Linked DNA regions of Macaca fascicularis. The protein of the gene in region 1 purifies or fractionates together with the protein of each later gene. This does not show direct contact. Links are inferred from orthologs where the notes say so. Each region holds a gene or a part of one and is shown in the gene's direction. Other genes may lie near its edges.

Region 1 (4,412 bases):
TGCACGTTGAGGTTTTGTGTGGCCCTGAGTGTTATCAAGCTAAATGACAAGCAGAGAGGGAGGCTCTAAAAGAAAATAACATTTATTCACGAGTAGGCATTGCAGTGGGAATATGTATGCCATTTCAACTATGTGCACATTCAGGGAGGTGTAAAGGAAGACAAAGATTTTTAAAGAAAAAATGAGTCAGATTCCATAACTGTTTTGAGATAATTATCCTCGGCTACAAGGATCAAACAGCAAGGATAGCATCAGTAATAGGCTGGACAGGCAGTTGCTGGGTAGCTGTCCTCACAGACATATTTTTTGTGTGTAAGGTTGCGATGCCCTTTGTGCACGGTTGTGGTTTTTGCAGTCTTCTGTGACAGTTTTTGTCATCAGGCATTAGTGCATGAGAACCCTCCCTCCACGGCCTTTCACCAGCTCCATTTTTCTGATTTAAATAAATAAATAAATAAAGTGACTCCATTTTGATTCTGACAACTTTTTCAATGGCAATGTGGAACTGTAGTAACTTTTTTCAATCTTTCAGTGACACTGACATCTTCGTGTCTCTACTCAGTCATACAATTAAATTAAATCATGTGTACATTTTAAAACAATGACAACCTGTTTAATGACAGAGACTGTGAACTGGGACCCTCGAGGTTGGCCACTTTTGGTGTTTTATTTGGGCCACAAGTTTTTGAATGCTTTCAATTACCTACCAAAATTCCAAAAGTGGAAAACTTCCCATAAAAACCTGCCTTTATTGCTTCTCTTGAAAACTGGAAGAACTGGCCACCTAGGTCCCACAACACCTACCTGGCTGAATAGGGTCGGCCCCACTTTCAGCAGAAATAACCTCTGCAGTTTTCAACAGCCCCAGCTCTCCTGGGCGTTGACTTTCCTAGTTGCTTCCTTTAATGCAGACGTTTGAGTTTGCAGCCCTAGATTGACAGTGTAGGGGCACTGAATTAGTTAGCTTTCCCACGCACATCATTTCTTATACTCATTTTCTTCTGCACAGCACCTCTTTTTCCTTTAACCACTCGCACATGCTAACTCGTTCTTCAGGACTCAGTTCGAATTTCCAGAAGCTTTTCTCTGAACTCATGATGGACTCTGCGTCCCATTATGTATTCCCGCATCGCTCCGCGCATCCATCTGGCACATCCCTTGCCACATTAAATTAATATTAAATGTTTGTAGGATGCTTGAGTTCTTCACAAGTCTCACGTCACTTAGCGACGGTCAGGAAATCCTCAGTGGTAGTTTCGGGAGTCATTCATTTTATTGATTTCATCATTCTTTCAACAGCCATAACGTACGTGACGACGAGTGACTCGTATCTTCAAAGATGTGTGTGTCCCTCGACCAATAACCTGTCTGCCCCTGTCGTTCTGCAGGAGGACCGAGTACCAGAGAACTACAACTCCCATCAGGCACTTGGGGATCACCGCGGCTGAGGGCGAGACTAAGGCTTAGGAACCACCATTCGCGTGAGGCTCTGCTCCCTGCGCCTGCGCAGAGTGTAGGGCCACGTCGCTTTTGCGGTAACAGAGACCACGCGTCTCATCCATGGCTTCCGCGGACTTGCGCCGGGTGGCAGATGGCGGCGGTGCTGGGGGCACCTTCCAGCCCTACCTAGACTCCTTGCGGCAGGAGCTGCAGCAAACGGACCCAACGCTGTTGTCAGTAGTGGTGGCGGTTCTTGCGGTGCTGCTGACGCTAGGTAAAAGGCGGCCGGTGGTTATGGCGGGTTCGGGGCAGAGGTCCGGGCTGAGAGAGCGCCTTGAGGGCATCAGGAGGGTGAGACCCACCCAGTCTACACCCCACCCTCTCGCCTGAAGCAGCGGCAGCAGCGGGGCGTTAAGGGAGATCCCGGGCGACCCCCGGAGTTACATCCTGGTCTTTGGGGCGCGGATTGCTCTTCGTCATCTTCCCTGTCATGCTTGAGTGCGCTATTCCCCACCTTCCGCTGTTCTCAGTGCAAGGATTCAGGGTCTTGACAGCAACTTTCAGCCTATACCAAGGTAGTGAGATCGCACTTGAGTCCCCAGTCAGAGTAAGGAGTGCAAAGAAAAGTTGACAGTTGACACGCCCGGCTCAGTGGGCCCCTAACAACAGCAATAGTAACCATTATGATAAAAGTCAGTTCCAGGTGAATGAGGTGTTTCATCACAGACTTCTGTGAATTTCCCCACCCCAGCCATGCACATATACTGATTGCCAAGGCGTAATTTCTGTTGTTTTTCTTTCTATTCCACAGTCTTCTGGAAGTTAATCCGGAGCAGAAGGAGCAGTCAGAGAGCTGTTCTTCTTGTTGGCCTTTGTGACTCCGGGAAAACGTTGCTCTTTGTCAGGGTAAATGATTTCATTTACACCCCTGTTAAGCTTAATAGAAAATTGTATAGCATCCCAGTATTCCTGTCATCTCATGGTTTATTTTCTAAAAGAAGCTGATGCTGGTAAATTTGAGAGTTACCAAATTTACTTGACTTACTTGGGAGAACAGAAAGACTCTTAGAAACCCATAATTGAGAAATGTTGATCATTTTTCCTCTTTTTTCTTTCTTTTTTTTTTTTTGCCCTTGCCAGATGCTGATATTTAGTCTTTATCACATTTAAGGGTTTTATTTAATTAGTTTCATTCCAGAATAGCAGAAAGCACAGAAGCCAGTGGTCTACAGTTTATCATTCCTTGGTTAACAAATTCTTATGAGAGTTTATCAAAGACACTTTTTCACAGGATGATCCTTCTTTGACATAGTGGGCTAGTTAGCTTCTTTTTACTAATATTTATTTTTAATACATTTAGTATTTTTAACAGTGTGTTTTAACATGGTGAATAGGAGAGGTTTTCTGCTTTTTAACTTTTCTTTCTGAGAGTATAAATTATTTCCCTTCCATTCAAGAAATAGCTCAAATCTTTTTTTTTTTTTTTTTTTTTTTTTTGAGGCAGGGTCTCGCTCCAATGCCCAGGCTGGGGTACAGTGGCGAGATCTCCGCTCATTGCAGCCTTGACTTCTGGGACTCAGATGATTCTCCCACCTCAGCTTCCGAGTAGCTGGGACTACAGGCGTGCGACACTAAGCCCGTCTAATTTTTTATATTTTTTGTAGAGATGAGATTTCGCCACATTGCCCAGGCTTCAAATCATTTTTGATGGTTAAAAATCTTTACAGAAGATTGGGAAATTTGGCCACTAACTGTCTTTTGAGAATAATGTTATTTTTATACCATTAAGGAGTAAAAGTTGCAATTAATTCGATTTTTTTTTCTACAGGTAAAAAATATTAATATGGTCTTTTTCACCTATTGCAAGCAGCATTCATTTACTTAACCTTACACCTGGGAGACTTAGAATAATATAACTCAATTTTGGTTTGCTATTAAAATGTTGAATATCTCCCATCTTGTTTTTTTTACAGTTGTTAACAGGCCTTTACAGAGACACTCAGACTTCCATTACTGACAGCTCTGCTGTATACAGAGTCAACAATAACAGGGTAAGATGTTTGTGGAGTTTTGGAGTCTGACAGTCTTACTTTACTGTGGTGTGTCAGTTAAGGACATTTTTAGGATGAGTTCATCTGAGGATGTAAGTACCATTTGTAGCTTATTTTTATGGAGAAACATATTCTTTGTGACAAATTCTGCTCTTGACAATCTGTACAGTAGATTTAATCATGCCCTCCTCTGCATTGTTGTACCTTAATGTACAGTAATGTTATATCACATTTTATTCTTATTTTTTGTTTCTGTGTCTTCTTTCCAACTTTACAGTGAGTTCTTAAGAGTGGGCATTAAACCTTTTATGTTTTGAATAGGTAATACATGCACGTGGTACAAAAATTCAAAAGGTTAGAAAGGATATTTGGTGAAAAGTAATTTTTGCTTTCCGTTCCCCACTACCCCATCTTCTCCTTAGAAGCAGTAACTTACTTTTTTTGTGTGTAGCCTTCCAGATGTTCTGTGCTTATATAAACATGTCTGTATATCCTTTATTGTTTTTTCTTTTTAAATACTGTTCTGCCCATTATTTTTTTTCATACAGCTGATACGACTTGGGCTTTTCTTATTCTCCTATATTTGTATACGTAGTACCACCTGGTTGGTTTATGAGCTGCATAGTACTCCACTCTGTTGCTATACCACACAATTAAATTCTTACTTAATCAGGACCGTGTTAATAGACATTTAGTTTTGTTATCATAACCTTTGTTTTTACAAGCAGTGCTGCAATGGATATCTTGCAGAGTATATAGGAGTATATTTCAAATATAAGGAATCACGGGTCCTGGCTTGGTGGCTCATGCCTGTAATCCCAGCACTTTGGGAGGCCGAGGCAGGCAGATCACTTGAGGTCAGGCGTTCAAGACCAGCCTGGCCAACATAATTAAATCCCGTCTCTACTAAAAATGCAAAAA
Region 2 (3,647 bases), on another chromosome or scaffold:
TCCAGACCCTCCCCACACCAGATCCTTCTCCATATTAAAAAATATGTGTAGTCCTTCAGTATACTTCATGAGAGAAAACAACAACAAAAGAATTTTTTTAATAATGGTACCAGAGGCAGGAAGCTGGCCGTGGGAGCCCAGGGGAGAGCGCATAAGTAGATACAGCTACAGCCATAGCAGTCAGCTTGCACCCCTGGAGTGCAGTGGTTGAGATGGAAAAGTCGATTACCAGGCAGCACAGCTGTGTTTTAAAAGTTTCTCCTGAAAGCAGGGGCGTTGTTCACACTAATGCTCTCGGTCATCCGGCACCGGCCACCATGTTGCTGCAGCTGGAAATGGGGGCTTTGCCAGTGGTTCCTGGAGCGCAGGTCCGCATTCTTGTTAGACTCTTGCCTGAGTTCAGTATGATGTCATCCTGAGTGTGTTTGTTTCCTCGCAGTTTGAACAGGAAAATCAGCGACTCATTGGTGAAATGAACAGCTTGTTTGATGAAGTGAGGTATGTTTGTGGCTCCTCTGTGAGCTGAGAGCCTGCTTTACAACTTTCCAGGAACTAGGAACGTTATTTACCTTGGTGCCCAGGCATCCACATGGGGCCCCTGGGCTGGTGCAGCCCCCCTCAGCCATTTTGACAGGGCTGGGGTGGGCATGTGGCCTGAATCTACAACTCCCTCAGCCTGTGGGCCTGTGGGTTACCTCCCGCCTGCTGCCACTGCTGCGGGGGGCCCAGATGCTTTCTACCCCAAGAGATGCAGGAGTGACTGCAGATTACCTGCGTGTAATTTCCACCACCATTTGGGCTGTTTCCATGCAGCGACTCTGAAATGAAATGGGGCCCTCGTGAAGGACAGCTGACCAAGGGAAGCCCTCTTTTGCAAATGGCTCCACTGGGGTCTGCCTGCTCCTGTACCCCCCAGGGGGTCAGGAATGCAGAAGGCAAGGCCTTGGTCACCCACACGTGCACCCACTGAACTCTAGTTTCTGTGGGAAGGCCTGCAGCATGCTGAAAGTAAGGCCCGGGACTTTGCAGAGCCTGTTGTATTGTGGACATGTCCCCCAAATCAAATCAATCCTGATGCTGCACTCACACAGCCTGAGGATTTTCTCAGTGTAGGTGTCAGCCTCCCAGGGGCTCTTCGCCTTCTGCCCTCAGATGGACCTCCTAGTCCTCCTCCAACAGCCTACCTTTCACTGTCCGTCCCCGCTACTCCCCCATGCCCAGATACTCACTGGCTTTTCTTCCCCCATCTCCTCCCCTGCCCTCCTGCCACTGTGACACTGTTGGGATTCGTGTCTGCTTCCACCTGGCCAGGAGCTCAGCTCCCACCACTTTTCGCCTCCTGCCACTTCCTGTCGCTGCTTTGTGCTGGAACAGCAGTTAACTTCAGCCTGGGCCAGCTTCCGTTTGTAAATAGATGGGCCCCCACCTGTCCCCCAGGGTAGCCCAGGCTGCCCCTGACACCAGGAAGATGGCTAGCCCAAGTGTTTCCGATCCGACAGAACACTCCATTGCCAAACCAAGACATGGCATTTTCTAAATGAATCAGAGGAGCTTTTTTCTTGGAACAGGGAGTTGGTTTGAGGGTAAATACACTTTTTTCTTTAACCCGCTGAGCAGTAACAAAGCAGGATCATCAGCATATTCTGACCTTCTGAATCCCCACCATGTGTTACCATGGTGACAAGGCTAGGCAGAGAACTTACTGGAGACTGCTTTCTGTAACTGGGGCATAACCAGACCCTCCCCGGTCCTTGACCAGTGACACAGAATGCAAAGGGCACTGCCCACACCCACCTCTTGGGACTGGGGCTCAGTTGGCATGGTCGAGTGGACTTCCAAAAAGCCCAGCGTGCTAGGCTACACCGGGAGACAGGGAAGGTGACCCAGTAAGGAGAGTTTGCCTTCCTCTCCAATCTCTTCCCCCAGCCAACATGGTATGCTCCCCCGTCTCTCCCACCTTCATGTAGAAGACAGGATTTCTTTAGAAATGTGTAACAGTCCTGTTAGATTACCAAGTACTAATAGTTAATATGTAATCTATTCTTCTTTTTATGAAGGCAAATCGAAGGGAGAGTGGTTGAGATTTCCAGACTCCAAGAGATATTCACGGAAAAGGTTTTGCAACAGGTAAAAACAAAAACAAAAACAAAGTAGCTGTACGTTTTAACTTAAAGGGGAATGTACTTGAGAGACATTTTCCCAAAGGCTGCTGCTCTGCGCAGCCAGGAGCAGAGCCATGTGTTGCTAGCAGGTGTGCGTGCGCAGAGCTCCTCAGGGCAAAGCTCTCACTACCCAGAGCTGCCTCTGCACACGTGTGACGGAGGAGGAGCTCCCCACAGGGGATCCACTGGCCCCACTGACCACGCCGTGTGGTGGCGCATGCAGTGGCATGTGGGAGGAGAGTCCAGGCCTGGCAGTCAGGGTTCTGGATGTGCTGGGTGAGCTAGGTAGCCCGGCCAGGCAACAGTTTCCATCTATAGATTGGAGTGACCCCTGCAGGGTTGTTCTCCATTTGAGAGAGAACTACAGAACGATGCTGACGGGCAGTTGCTTTTCTGTCAGTAGAGTTACAGGAGCTCAGGCCCAGGCCTCTCACAGTGCGAGGTCCATGCCGCCTCAGGGATGGTGCCTGCATGGGAAATAGGATTGTTCTTTTCAAGTCAATTTTCTGAAATTCTTCCAGCCAATAACTGGCAAAACTTTTAGTGACCTAATAAATTTGCCCTTTTCTTTTTAGCACCCAAAGACAATGGGAACGTTTTGTCTTAGTATGTTAAACTACTTAACTTAAAATACTTCTCTCAAAATGACTTTCCATAAACCACACAGCCAGAGTGAAATCATTGTAAATGAGGTACATTAAGTCTAACAGCAGTTTGGAAGTTCGGGTTCATAGGAGTTGCTCTTTTGAATAACACTACCCTGCTTCAAACCTCCCAGCGGCTGCAGGGGGCCTGGAAGGGGTGTGCAGAGCACAGGCAGAGCCTTGCCTTGGCTCACCAGGAGTTTCTTTTTTTATTTTTTTTTATTTTTTTTGGAGACGGAGTCTCGCTGTGTCACCCAGGCTGGAGTGGTGTTGTGATCTTGGCTCACTGCAACCTCCTCCTGGGTTCAAGCGATTCTCCTGCCTCAGTCAGCCTCCCGAGTAGCTGGGATTACAGGCATGCCACCACGCCTGGCTAATTTTGGTATGTTTAGTAGAGACGGGGTTTCACCATCTTGGCCAGGCTGATCCCGAACTCCTGACTTCAGGTGATCCACCCGTCTCGGCCTCCCAAAGTGCTGGGATTACAGGCATGAGCCACCAGGCCCGGCCCACCAGGAGTTTCTAAGTCCTGAGGAACGATATGTGTTTCTTGTTTTTTTCATCAGTGTTACATTGTAGTTCATATTGATTCTCTCATTGGAACCTTGGCAGTGGTCACTTAGCTCACACTTCGAGATTCTCTAAAATGGGGTGATGACAGGGCAAAGCCATCTCGGTAATATTCATTGCTGGGAATAGAGGCCAGAGGCTGCCTTCCTCCCTAAAATGTGTCAGGTTTCTCTAAAAACCCACACTAGCATTCATTCCACCCGACCGTGTTAGGAAGCAGCTTCACCACCGCCAAAAGGAGGAGAGAAGCAGGCACTCCTGCTCATAAGGC
Region 3 (3,586 bases), on another chromosome or scaffold:
CTAATTGGTAAGCTCTGAGGACCGGGCTGACTCATGTTCACGGGATACAGGTAATTGAGCGCAGACTCACTAGCGTTTCTCACCTGCACGATAAAGACTGGTTGTTGCTGACATGGAACTGACCTACCTGTCCCCCTCCTCAGCTAAGAACGTGGCTGCAGACATTGCCGTCCAGCTCTGTGAATCCGTTGCCAACAAGCTGGAAGGGAAGGTGATGGGGACGTTCAGCAGTAAGTACTGCCCTAAGTGAGAAAGTGCTTATGTGTACCAAGAGGTTAAGTGCACAGACCTCTGTTCTTACGAGGTATGTGACTTTTGGCAAAATCCTTAACCTCTAAACCTCTGTAACCTAGATTTTAAGGGTTATTGAGAGGATTAAATGAGTTAGTCCTTGTAATGTGCGTCTGTTCTGGATTTCTGGGAAAAGAGTCTAGTTAACTGTCTTAGTCCCCTTAGCTCAGAAAGGTGTTAGGCATTTTTGAGAGCATTCTTTACACAGCTGCAAACGTCCTCCACCTCCTCTTTCAGCGGTGACTTCCACAGTAAAGCAAGCCCTACAGGAGTCCCTGGTGCAGATTCTGCAGCCACAGCGTCGTGTAGACATGCTCCGGGACATCATGGACGCCCAGCGTCGCCAGCGCCCTTATGTCGTCACCTTCTGTGGTGTTAATGGAGTGGGGAAATCTACTAATCTTGCCAAGGTCAGTGCAGTTCCCCAGCCTGTCGCTGATATTTGTGTACTTCTCGTGTCTCAAAATCCTGGCTTTAGGTGACTTTTCTCACTTCTTTTTCACAGATTTCCTTCTGGTTGTTAGAGAATGGCTTCAGTGTCCTCATTGCTGCCTGTGATACATTTCGTGCCGGAGCTGTGGAGCAGCTGCGTACACACACCCGGCGTTTGAGTGCCCTACACCCTCCAGAGAAGCATGGTGGCCGCACCATGGTGCAGTTGTTTGAAAAGGGCTATGGCAAGGATGCTGCTGGCATTGCTATGGAAGCCATTGCTTTTGGTACAGTGCACAGGAAGTCGGGGGGCTTATTTGGGGTCCCTTTTCCTCCTTTGGTTCTCTTGGAATTTGCAGATCAGGCTTGTGCTACTACAGACTCGTTAATTACAGTAAAAAGTCAGATCAGTTACTTGCCATGCTCTGCTTTTGGGTAATAGATATAGTTGCAGGCAAAGTTAATACACCCTAACCAAAGAAGCCTGAATTTGGTCACCTTTATCCTGTTATCCTCCTTTTCCTGAACATGTTTGGTGATGGCCAAGCATACAATCAAGTTTGTCTCACATTACCTTGGAACCAAATCCAGGGCCCAAGACAGTGAACAGGTAGCCAAACTAGGATTTTCTGAAAGGAAGCTGGGAATGAGATTAGTTGTAGTCCAGGTTTTCAGAGTTGACCACTTTCTTTCTTTAGCACGTAACCAAGGCTTTGACGTGGTGCTGGTGGACACGGCGGGCCGCATGCAAGACAATGCCCCTCTGATGACTGCCCTGGCCAAACTCATTACTGTCAATACACCCGACTTGGTGCTGTTTGTAGGAGAAGCCTTAGTAGGCAATGAAGCCGTGGACCAGCTGGTGAGAGTGTGGGCCCAGTTCCCTTTACAACTTAAGCTTTAGTCAATGTACATGGTTCTTACACTTCTGTCACCTTTTTTCTTTCCAGGTCAAGTTCAATAGAGCCTTGGCTGACCATTCTATGGCTCAGACACCTCGGCTCATTGATGGCATTGTTCTTACCAAATTTGATACCATTGATGACAAGGTAAACGTGAGACTGGAGGGTGGAGTGGGCATCCTCCGCAAAGGAGCTGAGGCTGCAAGGAAGCCTTGGCTCCAGCGCTTCCTGTTCCTAAGAGGGCGAGTGAAAAGTGGGCTCGTGTTGATTGGCTGTCCCCTTTCTCCACTTAGGTGGGAGCTGCTATTTCTATGACGTACATCACAAGCAAACCCATCGTCTTTGTGGGCACCGGCCAGACCTACTGTGACCTACGCAGCCTCAATGCCAAGGCTGTGGTGGCTGCCCTCATGAAGGCTTAACATGGCTCTTGCCCAATACCAAATCGCCGCTTTCCCCACAAGCCCTTCTTCCTGTATCAAGAATGTGCTTTAGAGTATGTGAGCAACTTGTCTTCAGTGTAGTACAAAGGCAGAGCGAGGGGGCTTGTGGCTCCTTCCAACCCCATTCCCCGTTCAGCACAGCCGCCATCTGCAAGGAGGGCCTAATCATGTTAAAATCACTGCCCACTGACCCTCTCCCAGCAGGTCTCCCCCTTCCTACTCAGGCACCCCCTTCACTCTGCCTACATACTCAGTCTCATTACAGCTTTGACCAATGGTTGGAACCCAACACCAGAGCTTTGCTAATAATTAGTGTGGTCAGGAGCCGTCTGAGCCTAATGAGTCCCAGCTGCATTAGGTTAAGAGACTCTTCCAGAGCCAGCGCCAGGTCTTGAATGGCACCTCTCCCTAGGATACACAGCCTGCAGGTCCCCAGGACCTGGATGACACCCGCCTCACTGTGGCAGTGTATTGCCTGTTAATTGCTGCTAATTCTAATTCTGATGATGATTCCTACTCCATTGTTTACCCCAAAGCGTCAGCTAGGCTGGAGTGATTTGTTACAAATGAGCAAAAGATGAGTCCCTGCTTCCCTCAGAAATAAAGGGAGGTGAGCTGCAGGGTTGCATTGGGCTTCTCCGCCTCCCAACTCTTCCCATTCCCAGAATCCAGAAGTCAGCTTTGCATGTTCCCCTTCCTGGGAGGAAACCAATTGTGAGAAGGGTATATGTTGCCCCCTCCCCTCCCATCCTCCTAAGCAGTCCTGGCTTTTCCTCATCACTCCCCTCTACAGTGCCTGGTAGACAAGTGCTACGTTGAAGAATACAAACCTCTTGTTAAGACTTGTCCTGTAGCTTGATATTACAGATGTGCTATTAGTGCAATAAGGTGAAGGCTGTCTGCCCAGAGAAATAAGTAATTTATATAAGAAAATAAATTTCATAAATAAATTGCCTTTTAGGTCTTGGAGTTCTTTTATACAGGATTCAAAACTAAAATTCCACAACACACTAACTATAGTTCTAGGGCTTATATATGGTGAGGACAACAGAGCAGAAGTTTACTCCAAGGAATCAGGTAAGTAAACGGTTGTCCTAAGAATGAGATCACCCCAAGGTGAAAGATGTCAGAACCTTTAAAATTGGGGTTAGTAAAATTAAGCTTATTAGTTAGTACCGTGATGCAAGTTAGAGTCTTCTACAATGACTCTCAAAGTAGAGCCAGGGTCCTGGCAAGTAAATGAACAAGCTTTTAATACAGCTCAGTTATGTAAAATACTGTACACTGTAAAAGATCTAGAAAACTAGAGCTTCAAGTCATGTTTTAAAAAAGCCATTAAGCTTAATTGAAAAACCAAGTATAGAGTACAAAACTGCAACAAGAGCCACAGTGATTCCATGGCATCTAGACCCCGAGTCCATGCAGAGCTGCAGCCAGTCAGTGGAGGTATCACATTGGTGTGCTGTGCGGACACAAGCATGTCCAGCCTGGGGAGTGGGTCGGGAGCTGCATTTGGGT

What was found.
Region 2: the proteins of SRPRB (region 1) and STX18 purify together in Homo sapiens (affinity purification with mass spectrometry; 3 studies listed by BioGRID and IntAct, counting the BioPlex papers as one, with this or other methods). This does not show direct contact. The link is inferred for Macaca fascicularis from reciprocal best matches to the Homo sapiens genes SRPRB and STX18.
Region 3: the proteins of SRPRB (region 1) and SRPRA purify together in Homo sapiens (affinity purification with mass spectrometry; 6 studies listed by BioGRID and IntAct, counting the BioPlex papers as one, with this or other methods). This does not show direct contact. The link is inferred for Macaca fascicularis from reciprocal best matches to the Homo sapiens genes SRPRB and SRPRA.

What each region holds. Positions count from the first base shown.
Region 1 is NC_088376.1:36,714,487-36,718,898, forward strand, and holds the start of SRPRB (signal recognition particle receptor subunit beta), read left to right. Parts: upstream 1-1,526; 5' UTR 1,527-1,560; coding exon 1,561-1,714; intron 1,715-2,251; coding exon 2,252-2,346; intron 2,347-3,413; coding exon 3,414-3,491; intron 3,492-4,412. UniProt on the Homo sapiens protein: Component of the signal recognition particle (SRP) complex receptor (SR). Ensures, in conjunction with the SRP complex, the correct targeting of the nascent secretory proteins to the endoplasmic reticulum membrane system.
Region 2 is NC_088379.1:8,633,558-8,637,204, forward strand, and holds part of STX18 (syntaxin-18), read left to right. Parts: intron 1-439; coding exon 440-498; intron 499-2,057; coding exon 2,058-2,127; intron 2,128-3,647. UniProt on the Homo sapiens protein: Syntaxin that may be involved in targeting and fusion of Golgi-derived retrograde transport vesicles with the ER.
Region 3 is NC_088388.1:124,828,795-124,832,380, reverse strand, and holds the end of SRPRA (signal recognition particle receptor subunit alpha), read left to right. Parts: coding exon 1-7; intron 8-143; coding exon 144-230; intron 231-528; coding exon 529-701; intron 702-796; coding exon 797-1,010; intron 1,011-1,421; coding exon 1,422-1,585; intron 1,586-1,673; coding exon 1,674-1,772; intron 1,773-1,918; coding exon 1,919-2,047; 3' UTR 2,048-3,018; downstream 3,019-3,586. UniProt on the Homo sapiens protein: Component of the signal recognition particle (SRP) complex receptor (SR). Ensures, in conjunction with the SRP complex, the correct targeting of the nascent secretory proteins to the endoplasmic reticulum membrane system.